2 linked regions of the Anolis sagrei genome follow. The protein of the gene in region 1 interacts with the protein of each later gene in a pairwise test. Links are inferred from orthologs where the notes say so. Each region holds a gene or a part of one and is shown in the gene's direction. Other genes may lie near its edges.

The links. The genes of interacting proteins can lie anywhere in the genome.
Region 2: the proteins of PKNOX1 (region 1) and pre-B-cell leukemia transcription factor 2 interact in binary tests that used the Homo sapiens proteins (3 or more experiments, as listed by UniProt). The link is inferred for Anolis sagrei from reciprocal best matches to the Homo sapiens genes PKNOX1 and PBX2.

Annotation. Positions count from the first base shown.
Region 1 is NC_090023.1:75,239,236-75,246,233, forward strand, and holds the start of PKNOX1 (homeobox protein PKNOX1), read left to right. Parts: upstream 1-3,983; 5' UTR 3,984-4,164; intron 4,165-6,998. UniProt on the Homo sapiens protein: Activates transcription in the presence of PBX1A and HOXA1.
Region 2 is NC_090022.1:16,307,263-16,314,479, forward strand, and holds the start of pre-B-cell leukemia transcription factor 2, read left to right. Parts: upstream 1-4,207; 5' UTR 4,208-4,567; coding exon 4,568-4,773; intron 4,774-7,217. UniProt on the Homo sapiens protein: Transcriptional activator that binds the sequence 5'-ATCAATCAA-3'. Activates transcription of PF4 in complex with MEIS1.

The DNA of each region.
Region 1 (6,998 bases):
AATGGAACAAGGCCTTTCACATTCACTTAAGTGTGAGCCAAGTAACCAGACTTGTTATGTCTGGTGCTTGGTTCATTTTAAATCAGTGTTCAGCTTCTTACTGTATTTTTGTAATAAAAATGTGTTACTCATATCTTATTAGTATATGGATATGATGAAACCAATAATATTAAGTTCTCCTTCTGTTTATTTATATCCCATTTTTTCTCTCCACAAGGAGACTCAAAGCTGAATATCCTATTATTCTGAGAATTCCAGCCATTGTGAAATACCTACAATATGATGACAATGCCAACAAATGCTATATTGTTAAACTTAATGATTAGAAACAAACTGTACCAAGAACAAAATGGTGCAACATTGTAAAACAGTAGTTTTAAAATGAGTGTTATTTAGCATTGGGTGTTGCTGAATTCAGGTCACTTTTTCCAATTCATAGATTACACATTTTTGTGAATCACAGTAATGTTGTTGCAATATTTAGGTCATGAACTAGTTCGTTATGAATAGGTCTTCATAGACAACAGATTAGGGAAATATTCACAGATATAAGTTATTGGTGTATTAATGTATTGGAAAATAAAACAGCAGTTAAATCCAAAAGTCAGAATACAAAACATAAGATGACTAAATTATCTTTTATTCTCACCTTTTTGTATTTCATAGCCAGATACAGTACATGATTCTATAAATACAAAGAATTTAACAACTAAAAAAATGAATGTTCCACATCTCTATTGATTTTTAGTGTTTATTTTAACAAGTCTCTAACTCTTTGCAAAAACATGTTTATCCACTTGCATAGAAATGAGCACAGAGTCATTAAAATGACCTCTACATACTATTTTAACCACATTAAACTTCTTAGTTATTCATATTGGGAATTTCTAATTTGAAGTTATGGGTACCCTCTAGTAAAAGCACTGACGCCCCAGAAAGTTAATATGAAAAGTATCTACTACTATTGTTTCATCCATAAATTTGTCAAAGTGGACTCCGAGGATACAAAAACAGCTCCAAGGTTTTATGATGGGTAACACACTCTAATTTTGAATGAGTACAGTGTTTTGGGATTGTGTACTTCCAGGTAGATATGTGGTAAGTTGGCTCCCAAGCAACCCTGAAAAGAAAACAAGCTCGGGTTTGATTTTTAGAGACAGACACACAAACACATACCATGGATAATGAAACACATAGATGGCAAAATCCAGAGTTGCTTATTGGAATTGTGCATATACCATATAAAATTCCAAAAAGCAACTCTCATTTTTTTTTCATGCTGTGATTGATTGAATCCATTGATGCAAAATCTGTAGACATATAATGGCAAAATCAAGGTTATTATATACACACACTCTCTCTTATCCATAAAGACACACAGGGAGGGCTCACTACTTAGCAAACTGTCAGCTGGAATTCTTCGCACAGGCCTCTCATGAAACCAGTGGTTCCCAACCTGTGGTCCATGGACCATCAATGGTCTCCAAGAACGAAAATATGACATGTAGCAATGAGAACGACTGGACTTACAAAATCCTCTTATAGTGCTGAAGCAATGGGTATGTCAGGAAGGGAGAGGCTGACTACCAACGAAAGGTGTGACAAACCTCCTGACTGCTGCTTTTCCTCTTCCTCCCTCTACCTGAACGGAGCTGTTCCATGTGGCGCCTGGAAACAGAGGCACCTTGGTGTCATTTTTAGCCCTGTTCCTGGGGTTATTTGGGGTGCTGATTCAGAAAATTGCATTGCATAGATCACATCAGCTCTAGATTATTAAATATGGGTGAGCAGATGGCGACTCCTGGATGGCATATGTTCTGTATCAGAAACTAGAGCTGATGTGGTCTATCCAATGCAATTTTCTGAATCAACACCCCAAATATTATTTATTTAAAAGTTTTGTATACCGGTCTTCTCACCTCTCTTGAGGGACTCAGACCAGTTTCCAACCATAATATCACATACAATCAATAAAACATCGCAATACATATTACAGTAAAACATTAAAACAGCAATTACAATCAATAACTATAATGGTCAGTCGTTACACTAAAATCGCTGCTCATCATCCTCCATCCATATCTCAGGGTGTTGGCTCACTCGTCAAATGCCTGTCTCCATAACCAAGTCTTCACCTGTTTCCTAAATGTCAGGCTAGAAGGGGCGGTTCTGATCCCACTCGAGGCCGGTGGGACTGAGAGCAGGGCCTCTCCAGACGATCTTAATAATCTTGATGGTTCATACATTCAGAGAGGTAAACAGGGCCGGAGTCGTTTAGGGCTTTATAGGTTAACACCAGCACTTTGAATTGTGCTCGGAAGCTAATTGGCAGCCAGTGGAGCTGGTGTAACAGCGGAGTGGTGTGCTCCCTGTACCCAGCATCCGTTAGTAGTCTGGCTGCCGAGCGTTGGACTAGCTGCAGCTTCCGGCCAGTCTTCAGAGGCAACCCCACGTAGAGAGCGTTGCAGCAGTCTAAACGGGATGTAACCAAAGTGTGGACCACCGTGGCCAAGTCAGACTTCCCAAGGTACGGGCGCAGCTGGCGCACAAGTTTTAATTGTGCAAAAGCTCCCCTGACCACCGCCGAAACCTGGGGCTCCAGGCTCAGCGATGAATCTAGAACTGGATCTAAAATTGACCAAAACTGATTCTTAACCCTTTTGGAACTAATGTTGAAGGGTGGTCCCTGGTAAAAAAAAAAAAAAAAAAACAAGGTTGGGAAACACTGCACTAAGCTCTGTGGCCTGAATTTCAAATAAGCCTACATTAAAAAGTAAAGGTAAATGTTTTCCTGACATTAAGTCTAGTTGTGTTCGACTCCGGTGGGTGGTGCTCATCTCAATTTCTAAGTCGAAGAGCTGGTGTTGTCCATAGACATGGTCATGTGGCCAGCATGACTGCAGGGAACATCATTACCTTCTCGCAGAAGCGGTACCTATTGAGCTACTCACATCTGCATGTTTCGTATCATTTCCTGCCCCCAACCAACACTGTTTTAAAACCACAGGTATAATGATTTTCACTTTTTTCCTTCTGAAAGGAATCACATTGTTACAGATCTCAATGTATTTCAACAGTTAAATTTGGGCAACCAGGAAAGGGTTGCTATAAGACCCTCTCCATTACCCTTATCTGTATGTAAATAAATATATATGTATTCATTCAGATGTAAACATGCATATAAAATATGGGTTCATAAATCCGTATGTGTGTATATGTATATATGTGTGTGTGTATTTATCAATGTATATATTGTTTATATAAATGTGTGTATGTGTATATACCCAGTGGGTCAAAAGTCACAAAGGGGTTTCAATACCAGGTGCGCTAAAAGTTACAAAGGGTTTCAAAATTCATTTATTTTTTAATTTATAATTCCACGGCATCATATACAGCGGGTGTGGGAAACTCTAGCCCTCCATCTGTTTTGGACTTCAACTCCCACAATTCCTAACAGCCTCAGGCCGCTTAAGCAGCTGAGAGGGAAAAGGAAAGGGCCTGGGGCTGTTAGGAATTGTGGGAGTTGAAGTCCAAAACAGATGGAGGGCTAGAGTTTGGCCAGGCCTGCCTCAGATGCCGAAATTTGCCCATGTATTCATATATAGAGAGAGGGCGTGAGAGGAGCAGAGGAATCCTAAGCCGTTAACAGTCCCTTGCTCCTCTTTCCCTTTGTTGCCTGCACATTCCTTTAAAGAGAATGGGAGTACTGGGTAGCCCATCGTGTCGCGACAGTGATGGGCGCTGCGACCCACCTGCTGGCCACTTAGCCTTACGATAAGGCCTCATGACGTCACGCGCAGCTTCCCTCAAGCCGAAGGAACCTATTAAAGGCCTGGGAGAGGGGGCGTGGCCAACCCGCCCACCTCATGAGTATTCATAAACCCGAGGCGGTCGCGCGCCGAGGCCCCGATGGGGCGGGCCCGTGGAGGGGAAGGCCCCGCCCCTTCCAGCCTAGGCCGGCGCCGAGGTGGGCGTACCTCCAAGCGCGACGTCGCCCACTCCTTCGCTGAATATTGATGAGGCGTCTCGCGGAGCGTGCTGTCGTGTCAGCCCGGCGTGGCTCCCGATTGGACGAGGGCGTGTGTGCGCGGTGACGCGCGTCGCGGCGGTGCGGGTCCCGATTGCTGCAGCCGCTTGTCAGTGTGACGAAGATTGGCACCCAAGGTAAGCGCTGTCACTCAAACCTGCTCCTAGCCAGCCAGCCAAGCAGCCAGCCATCCATCCATCACGGCGCGCCCGACGCCGCCGCCGCCAGTGCCGGCCGCCTTGGCTGAGCCGCGCAAACGGACCCGGGGGTGTGGGGCGGGGGAGGCGAGGCCGACATACGGAACAGCAGGGCGGGGGCATCCTCGAGTGGCGGGGCGGGAGGGAGGGGGGGTTGGCCGAGGGGCGTCGGCAGGCAGGCAGGCAGGCGCGAGGGAGGGGGAGTGAGGAAAATTCTGGAACAGCCGTTGCTCTTGTAGGAGGGGGAGGGGGAGTCGGCGGGAGCGCGCGCGCGCCCGGGAACGAAGGTGTCGCGCGCCTCAGGGGGTGGAGGAGGGGGAGGAGGAGGGGAGAGAAAAGGGCAACAGCTGTTTGTGGCGCGAGGCGACGCGGGGGGTGGGGGGGGGGAAGAGCAGAGGCAGAGGAGGGCGAGATTTAAAGGGGCCGCTTTCAGGGACATTCCGATAGACCTGGAGCAGCGGGGAGAGAGGCAGCAGCTGCTTGTGCTTCTCCTCCTCCCAAGTGCCCCTCCCTCCCCCCCTTCCTCGAGTGCGGCTTGGGCTCCTTTGGCCCTCAGCCCGCGGGGAAGGAAAGCCAACCCTGAGGGAAAGGCCCTTCCTCCTCCTTGTCGCCTTTCCGTTGTTTCAGATTCCCTTTTCACCTGTAAACCGAGGGCCCTTCCATACAGCCATATAAACCAGAATACCAAGGCAGAAAATCCAACAATGTTTGCTTTGAACGGGGACATCTGAGTCCACACACTGCCATATGTCCCATATATATAAAGCAGAAAATGTGGGATTTTATTCAACTGGGTGAAAGGGGCCTGACATTATGAGACGTGCGAAGGTTTACATAATATGGCTGTGAACAATAAAACATGAGGTGTTTCACCTCCTTTCTGTCCCCTTTCCTTACTTATCTCCTTTCAGATATATATATTATATATGAGGAATATTTGTGTCTCATGTCAACTCCTCCCAAAACGGATTGAATGTTGAAAGATTCTGGAGATAATCCACCAAGCATTATTATTCCTCCTTTGTGATTATTTTTGTGAGTGGTAATAAATGTTGTATATATTTATATTTGAGGCATCCTGTGATGTCGCACTGCCACCCCCTGACAGGAACAAAAGGCTTCTAAATACAATAGAGTCTCGCTTATCCAATATAAACGGGCTGGCAGAATGTCGGATAATAAGGGATGAAGGAAAAGTTTATAAATGTAAAATTACATTATAATTTTACAAATTAAGTACCAAAACATGTTTTAAACCAGGGGTCCTCAAACTAAGGCCCGAGGGCCAGATGCGGCCCTCCAAGGTCATTTATCCAGCCCTCACTCAGTGTCAACCTAAATCTGAAATGTCTTGAAAGCACACAACAACAACAATCCTATCTCATCAACCACACTTCCCATTGAAATACTAATAAGTTTATATTTGCTAAAATTGTTCTTCATTTTAATTATTGTATTGTTTTTAAGTGGGTTTTTTTTGCACTGCAAATAAGATACGTGCAGTGTGCATAGGAATTCATTCATGTCTTTTTTTCAAATTATAATCCGGCCCTCCAACAGTTTGAGAGACTGTGACTTGGCCCTCTGTAGCCACATAATGCTTATGGCAGGTCTTTGTGCAGACTTCTACTGAAATAAATTCATTTCTGGAATTCTGGTCACAAAAAAGGTTTGAGGACCCCTGTTTTAAACAAATCGACAGAAAAAGCAGTTCAATACATTGTAACGTTGTGTAGTAATTACTGTATTTACAAATTTAGCACCAAAACATTGCAATGTATTGAAACAGCTGTGGATCTGGGTGGGAGGCAAACTGCGTTGGGTAATACAGAACATTGGATGAGCAAGGTTGGATAAGCGAGACTCCACTGTAACAGGGCCAGCACCCCTTATCTGGAAATCAGAAAGCGCAATTGTCCAAATGGCCGGCTAAGATAGGATTGTCCAAATAGCTGGCTAAGAAAATATGGGTTCATAAATCCATATGTGTATATATGTTTGTATCAATCTATATATTGCTTATATAAAACACTTGCTTTCTGATGCTTTAACATACATTGATTTTGTTTCATACATAAAATTATTGAAAAACATCATACAATAGACTCAGATCAACCCTGGCAAAAAGTTGAAGAAATAATATGTAATAATAATAATGAACTTTATTTCTAGACCACCATCTCTCCTCAGAGGGACTCAGGCGGTTTACATATAAAAAGGCAAACATTCAATGCCTCAAAATGGGTACAAACACATCAAAATAATACAGGGTGATGGAGGGTAAACTTACAACAAAGGAATTAAATCTCAAATATAATAAAAAATTAAAATAAAAGCATTGAAATAAAATAAAAACAAGGACAATCCACTAAGACATAAAAACAAAAACATAAGTAAATATTTCAATATACACTCTAAAAGCAAGTTAAGATACATTACATTAGTGGTTATCAACCTGTGGGTCCCCAGATGTTTTGGGCTTCAACTCCCAGAATTCCTAACAGCTGGTAAACTGACTGGGATTTCTGGGAGTTGTAGGCCAAAACACTTGGTTGAGAACCACTGCATTACAGTAAAAATGGCTGACATCGCTGCTTTGTTTAAGATGTCTCATAACATAAAATACAAGTGGATTAGCCACCATTCAAAGTGCCCTGGTCCTCCCCTCTATACACTAAAATACATTTTTAAAACTTTAAAACTATTTTTTATAAAACAGTAATAATAATAATAATAATAATAATAAACTTTATAACCCACCCTATCTCCCCAAA
Region 2 (7,217 bases), on another chromosome or scaffold:
GGAAGGGTTTGGTGGGCATTGACCTTGAGTTTTGAAGTTGTAGTTCACCTACATCCAGAAAGCACTGTGGACTCAAATAATTATGGATATCAGATGTCCAGGATGGATTTTCATTCACTGGACCAAATTTGGCACAAATACCCAATACATTTGAATACTAGTGAGGTTGGGGGGGGGGGTGATTTTGTCATTTGGGAGTTGTAGTTGCTGGGATTTATAGTTCACCTACAAACAAAGAGCATTTTGAATTCCACCAGTGGTGGAACTGAACCAAACTTGGCACATGGAACTCCCATGACCAACAGAAAATACTGGAAGGGTTTGGTGGGCATTGACCTTGAGTTTTGGAGTTGTAGTTCACCTACATCCAGAAAGCACTCTGGACTCAAATAATTATGGATCCAGACCAAACTTAGCACGACTACTCAATATGCCCAAATGTGAACACTGTTGGAGTTTTGGGAAAATAGACCTTGACATTTGGGAGTTGTAGTTGTTGGGATTTATAATTCACCTACAATCAAAGAGCATTCTGAATCCCACCAATGATAGAATTGGGACAAAGTTCCCACACGGAACTCCCATGACCAAGAGAAAATACTGTGTTTTCTGATGGTCTTTGGTGACCCTTCTGACACCCCGCTCATGACCCCCCCCCCCCCGAGGTCCCAACCCCCAGGTTGAGAAACACTGATCTAGAGATTTGTTGTTGTTTATTTGTTCAGTCGCGTTGGACTCTTTGTGACCTCCTGGGCCAGACCACACCAAAGCTCCCTGTCGGTTGTGGCCACCCCCAGCTCCTTCAAGGTCAAGCCAGTCACTTCAAAGATATGATCCATCCATCTTGCCCTTGGTAGTTCCCTCTTCCTTTTTCCATCCATTTTCCCCAGCATCATTGTCTCCTCTAAGCTTTCCTGTCTTCTCATTATGTGGCCAAAATACTTCATCTTGGCCTCTACTATCCTTCCCTCGAATGAGCAGTCGGGCTTTATTTCCTGAAGTATGGACTGGTTGGATCTTCTCACGATCCAAGGCACTCTCAGAACTTTCCTCCAACACCACAGTTCAAAAGCGTCTATCTTCCTTCACTCAGCCTTCCTTATGGTCCAGCTCTCACATCCATAGGTTACTATGGGGAATACCATTGCTTTAACTATGCATTTCTTCATGGGCAGTGTGATGTCTGTACTCTTCACTATTTTATCCAGATTGGTCATTGTACCTATGGCTACCTCCTAAGCTGCCTTTTTGCATTTTTTCCCTTGCAGAGCTCTTCACTGTGCTCCAAAAGTCGCCATTGGGAAAAATGGGAACTTGTAGCTAAATGTACTCTAACAACCACTCTAACAACCCCCATGTCAGACTACACAAGAAGCCATTGAAATACACAAGCTTATGGACAATTTCAACAGAAAAGGGGGAAACCATGAAAATGAACAAAATCTGGTTACCAGCATTTTAAAAACTCTAAAATCAGGACAGTAAATAAAGAGCAACTCTCAAAAAGTACATGAATTCAGACAGGAAATAATCATGGCCAGCTAACACCTCCCAACAAACGATTCTACCAGGCAAGAAGCAGCCTGGCTTTGAAACTGCAAAGCCAGTCAGTGCTAATCAAGGTGGCCAATTGCAACATTCACACTTGCCTCAAACAGTTATTTCCCTCACCCTGGACATTTCACAGATATATAAAGCCCACTTGCCTAGTTTCCAACAGACCCCACAGCCTCTGAGGATGCCTGCCATAGATGTGGGTGAAATATCAGGAGAGAATGCTTCTGGAACATGGCCATACAGCCTAGAAAACTCACAGCAACCCTGTGATTCTAGCCATGGAAGCCTTTGACAACACACTAAACCTTTATTGACAAAATATTTATTAAGCTCTTCTTTTGAGGATAGTATTCTTTTAGGCTATCTGAAAGTATAAGAAATATTTATAAACATAAAACATTAAAATATAACATTATATGAGTGTTTTATTTTTTCCTATGTATGGAGACTTTTGGGATACCCTGTATATTAGTCATTGGGAAACAGAGAACATTATCATTATTACCATTGTCAATTATCTGCCAGCTACCCAAAGGCATGGTCCCATAACCAAGTTTTCAATTTCCTCCTGAAGACAAGGAGGGATGTTGTTGACCTGATTTCGCTGGAGAGTGAGTTCCACAGGTGGGGGGCCACCACTGAGAAGGCCCTGTCCCTCATCCCCACCAAACATGTTTGTGCCAAAGGCAGGGCCGAGAGCAGGGCCTCCCCAGAAGATCTTAAATTTTGAGGTGGAACGTAGAGGGAGATAGGTTCGGACAGGTAAGCTGGGCTGGAGCCGCATAGGGCTTTGAAGGTCAAAACCAACACTTTGAATTGTGCTCAGAATTGGACCGGCAGCCAGTGGAGCAGAGGGTGGTATGCTCTCTGTATGATGCTCCAGTGAGTCGTCTAGCTTCTGCCCGTTGGACTAGTTGAAGCAGAGGTCCTCAAACTTTTTAAACAGAGGGCCAGGTCACAGTCCCTCAAATTGTTGGAGGGCCGTATTATAATTTGGAAAAAAAAATGAATGAATTCCTATGCACACTGCATATATCTTATTTGTAGTGCAATTTTTTTAAAACAATACAATAATTAAAATGGAGAACAATTTTAACTAATATAAACATATTAGTCTTTCAATGGGAAGTGTGGGCCTGCTTTTGGCTGATGAGATAGGATTGTTGTTGTTGTGTGCTTTAAAGTAGTTTCATACTTAGGTCGACCCTGAGCGAGGGCCGGGTAAATGGCCTTGGAGGACTGCATCCAGCCCCCAGGCCTTAGTTTGAAGACCCCTGAGTTGAAGTTTCCGAGCAGTCTTCAAAGGCAGCCCAATGTTGAGCGCGTTACAGTAATCTATTCAGGATGTAGCCAAAGCGTGGACCACTGTGGCCAGACCAGGCTTCCCAAGGCGCAGCTGCATATCAAATATTTACATTATGATTAATAACAGAAGCAAAATTAGAATTGTGGAGTAGCAACGAAAATAATCTTATGGTTGGGGGTCCTCACAATAGAATCATAGAGTTGGAAGAGACCTCATGGGCCATCCAGTCCAACCCCCTGCCAAGAAGCAGGAATATTGCATTCAAATCACCCCTGACAGATGGCCATCCAGCCTCTGTTTTAAAGCTTCCAAGGAAGGAGCCTCCACCACACTCTGGGGCAGAGAGTTCCACTGCTGAACGGCTCTCACAGTCAGGAAGTTCTTCCTCATGTTCAGGTGGAATCTCCTCTCTTGTAGTTTGAAGCCATTGTTCCGCGTCCTAGTCTCCAAGGAAGCAAAAAACAAGCTTGCTCCCTCCTCCCTATGACTTCCTCTCACATATTTATACATGGCTATCATATCTCCATGGCCACATCATGAGGAGACAGCAAAGCCTAGAGAAGACAATTATGCTGGGGAAAGTGGAAGGCAAAAGGAAGAGGGGCCGACCAAGGGCAAGATGGATGGATGGCATCCTTGAAGAGACTGGACTGACCTTGAAGGAGCTGGGGGTGGTGACGGCCGACAGGGAGCTCTGGTGTGGACTGGTCCATGAGGTCACGAAGAGTCGGAGACGACTGAACGAATGAACAACAACATCATATCTCCTCTCAGCCTTCTCTTCTGAAGGCTAAACATGCCCAGCTCCTTAAGCCGCTTCTCATAGGGCTTGTTCTCCAGACCCTTGATCATTTGAGTCGCCCTCCTCTGGACACATTCCAGCTTGTCAATATCTCTCTTGAATTGTGGTGCCCAGAATTGGACACAATATCCCAGGTGTGGTCTAACCAAAGCAGAATAGAGGGGGAGCATGAGGGACTGTATGAAGAGGTGGTGGTATTAGGAAGATTGAGAGCCACTGTTCTAGCTAGCCTATTTTTTCCTTCTTTCTCCTTCCTCCTCTTCTCCAGGACTTGCCTTGCAACCATCCAGCGGAGGGCAGAGCAGAGAGAAAGAGAGAGAGAGAGAAGGAGGGAGAAGGAAGAAAGGAAGGAGAGAGGGAAGGAGGGAGGGAGAGGCCAGCCTTGGGCCCCCACCTCTCTCTCTCTCTCTCTCCCACCAGGGCGCCAAAGGGGAGGCCTGCTTGGAAAGAGAAGGAAAGAGGAGGGAGGGAGGGAAGGAAGCAGGGAAGGAGGGAGGGCTGGGAAGAGGGGAAAGCGAGCCTCCTCTCCTCCTTTTCCCTCCTCCTCCTGTGCTTCCCTCCCCCTCTCCACCAGCTCCTCCCCCAGCCCTTGTGCGGGACTCCATTTTCCCAGCCCCAAAGTCTCCAAGGAAAGGGGCCCTGGGAGCGCGCATCCAAGATGGAATAACCAGCCTTTTCTCTCTATTTTCTTCTTCTGCTCACCCACTCCCCCTTTTTTCCTTGACTTGGGGGAGAAAGAGGAGCAAGCAGCCCCCAGACCGACGCCTTTGTGTGTGCGCGTGTGTGTGGTTGTGCGTCTTGCGGGGAGACTTGTTTTGTGCGCGCCCTCCTCCTCGTCCTCGTCCTCCTCCTCCTCCTCGGCGCGCCTTGTGTGCTTTGGGTGGTCCTTGTCGGCGGCGAGGATGGACGAGCAAGGGCGGCTGATCCAGGCCCGGGGCCCCGTGGGTCTGCCGGGCCACCCCTCGGTGCCGGGGGTCCAGGCCATGGCCCCGCACGCCCTCCACGAGCCCCCCTCGGACAACGGAGAGCCCCGCAAGCAGGACATCGGGGACATCCTCCAGCAGATCATGACCATCACGGACCAAAGCTTGGACGAAGCCCAGGCAAAGTTGGTTACCCCCTCCTGGCCTTTTGGGGGAAGGGCGCCGAGTTGGGGGTGAGGGTTGGGAATGGGACCCTTTGTGTGGGGAAAAACTCAAGGCAAAAGGGAGGGTTTACTTGGGGGAAAGTGTGGGGTACTTGGAGTGGCGCCACTCCACACCAAAGTCGCGCTTTCCCCCTTGTTTGCGTTTGGAGATTTCCAGGGGCCTTGGAGTATCAGGTTGGGCTCTTGGAGAAGCACTTGGAAATCCAGGATTGGGCCCGAACCCACACCAAAGGGGTTTTTCTGTGCTCGGAGATTTCCAGGACCCATGGGGTTATCCGTTAGGGCTCTTGGAGAAGCACTTGGAAACCCAGGATTAGGATCAAGCCCACACCAAAGCCTTGGGGTTTTGTTTTGTTTTGTTTGTTTTTTTACTTTTGGAGATTTCCAGGGGCCTTGGGGTATCAGATTGGACTCTTAGAGAAGTACTTGGTAACCCAGGATTGGGATCAAGCCCACACCAAATCCATGTCTTGTTTTGTTTTTGTGCTTGGAGATTGTCAAGGATGTGGGGATGTTTGAGACATGCTTGAAAAGGAAAGATTGGTCTCAACCCCACACTCAAGTCTTGCTTATCTGTTGGGTTTTTTTGCACTTGGAGATTACCAAAGGCCTTGGGGTATCAGATGGAGAAGCATTTGGTAACCCAGGATTGGGATCAAGCCCACATCAAAGCCTTGCTTTGTTTTGTTTTTGCACTTGGCAATTTTCAGGGATGTGGGGATGTTTGAGAAGGGCTTGGAAAGGAAAGATTAGTCTCAACCCTACACGCGAGTCTTGGTTTTCTGTTAGGTTTTTGCACTTGGAGATTACCCAAGGCCTTGGCATATCCTTTTGGGCTCTTGGAGAAGCACTTGGAAGCACAGGATTGGGATCAAGCCCAGACCAAACCCTTGGAGTTTTGTTTTGTTTCTAGGTTTAGAGATTTTAGGGGCCTTGGGATAACAGATTGAGCTCTTGGAGAAACATTTGGAAACCCGGGGTTGGGATCAAACCCACATCAAAGCCTTGTTTTGTTTTGTTTTTGCACTTGGCGATTTTCAAGGATCTGGGAATGTATAAGAAGTGCTTGGAAAGGAAAGATTGGTCTCAACCCCACACTAAAGTCTTTCTTAGATGTTTGGTTTTTGCACTTGGAGATTACCAAAGACCTTGGGGTATTCTTTTGGGCTCTTGGAGAATCACTGGGAAACCAAAGATTGGGATCAAGCCCACACCAAAGCCATGTTTTGTTTTGTTTTTCGGCTTGGAGATTTTCAAGGATGTGGGGTGCCAGGCTGGGATGTTTGAGAAGGGCTTAGAAAGGAAAGATTGGTCTCAACCCCACACTAAAGTCTTTGGTTTTTGCACTTGAAGATTACCAAAGGCCTTGGGGTGTTGGTTTGGGCTCTTGGAGAAGCACTTGGAAACCCAGGATTGGGATCAAGCCCATGCCAAAGACTTGGGGTTCTGTTTTGTTTTTGTGCTTGTTGATTTTCAAGGATGTGAGGATGTTTGAGATGTGCTTGGAAAGGACAGATTGGTCTCAACCTCAAACTAAAGTCTTGGTTTTTTGTTGGGTTTTTGCACTTGGAGATTATCAAAGGCCTTTGGGTACCCTTTTGGGCTCTTGGACAAGCACTTGGAAACCCAGGATTGGGATCAAGCCTACACCAAATCCATGTTTTGTTTAGTTTTTGCGCTTGGCGGTTTTCAAGGATGTGAGGATGTTTGAGAAGTGCTTGGAAAGGACAGATTGGTCTCAACCCCACACTAAAGCCTTGCTTGTCTGTTAGGATTTTGCACTTGGAGATTACCAAAGGCCTTGGGGTGTCAGGTTGGGCTCAAGCCCACACCAAAGCCTTGGGGGTTTTGTTTTGTTTTGTTTTTGCACTTGGAGATTTTTAGGGATGTGGGGTGCCAAGCTGGGATGTTTGAGGAGTGCTTGGAAAGCAAAGACTGGTCTCAACCCCACACTAAACTCTTGCTACTTCATCGCAGTTTAAATCAAGTTTCTTCCTTCAGAATTCTGGGGTTTGTATTTTAGTGAGGCTGTTAAAGGCTCCTCCCTAAACTACAAACCCCAGAATTCTGCAGGAGGCAGAAACTGAATTTTAATATAAATTTTATTGAATGCTTTTCTACAACTACAATCTTAAAATAAAGGAGGGGATTGGGAGGGGGAAAAAGGAATGAATTGGGATAGTTCAGGGGAAGGAAAGTTTCCTATGGGCAGCAACAGGATTTATAGTGCATTCAATCTCTAGTGTGATGAGGTCTTGCACTTGGAGATTACCAAAGACCTTGGGGTGTCGGATTGGGCTCTTGGAGAAGCACTTGGGCCCCTTCTACACAGCTGGATAAAATCCCACATTATCTGCTCTGAACTGGAATATATAGCAGTGTGGACTCGGATAACCTAGGGGCCC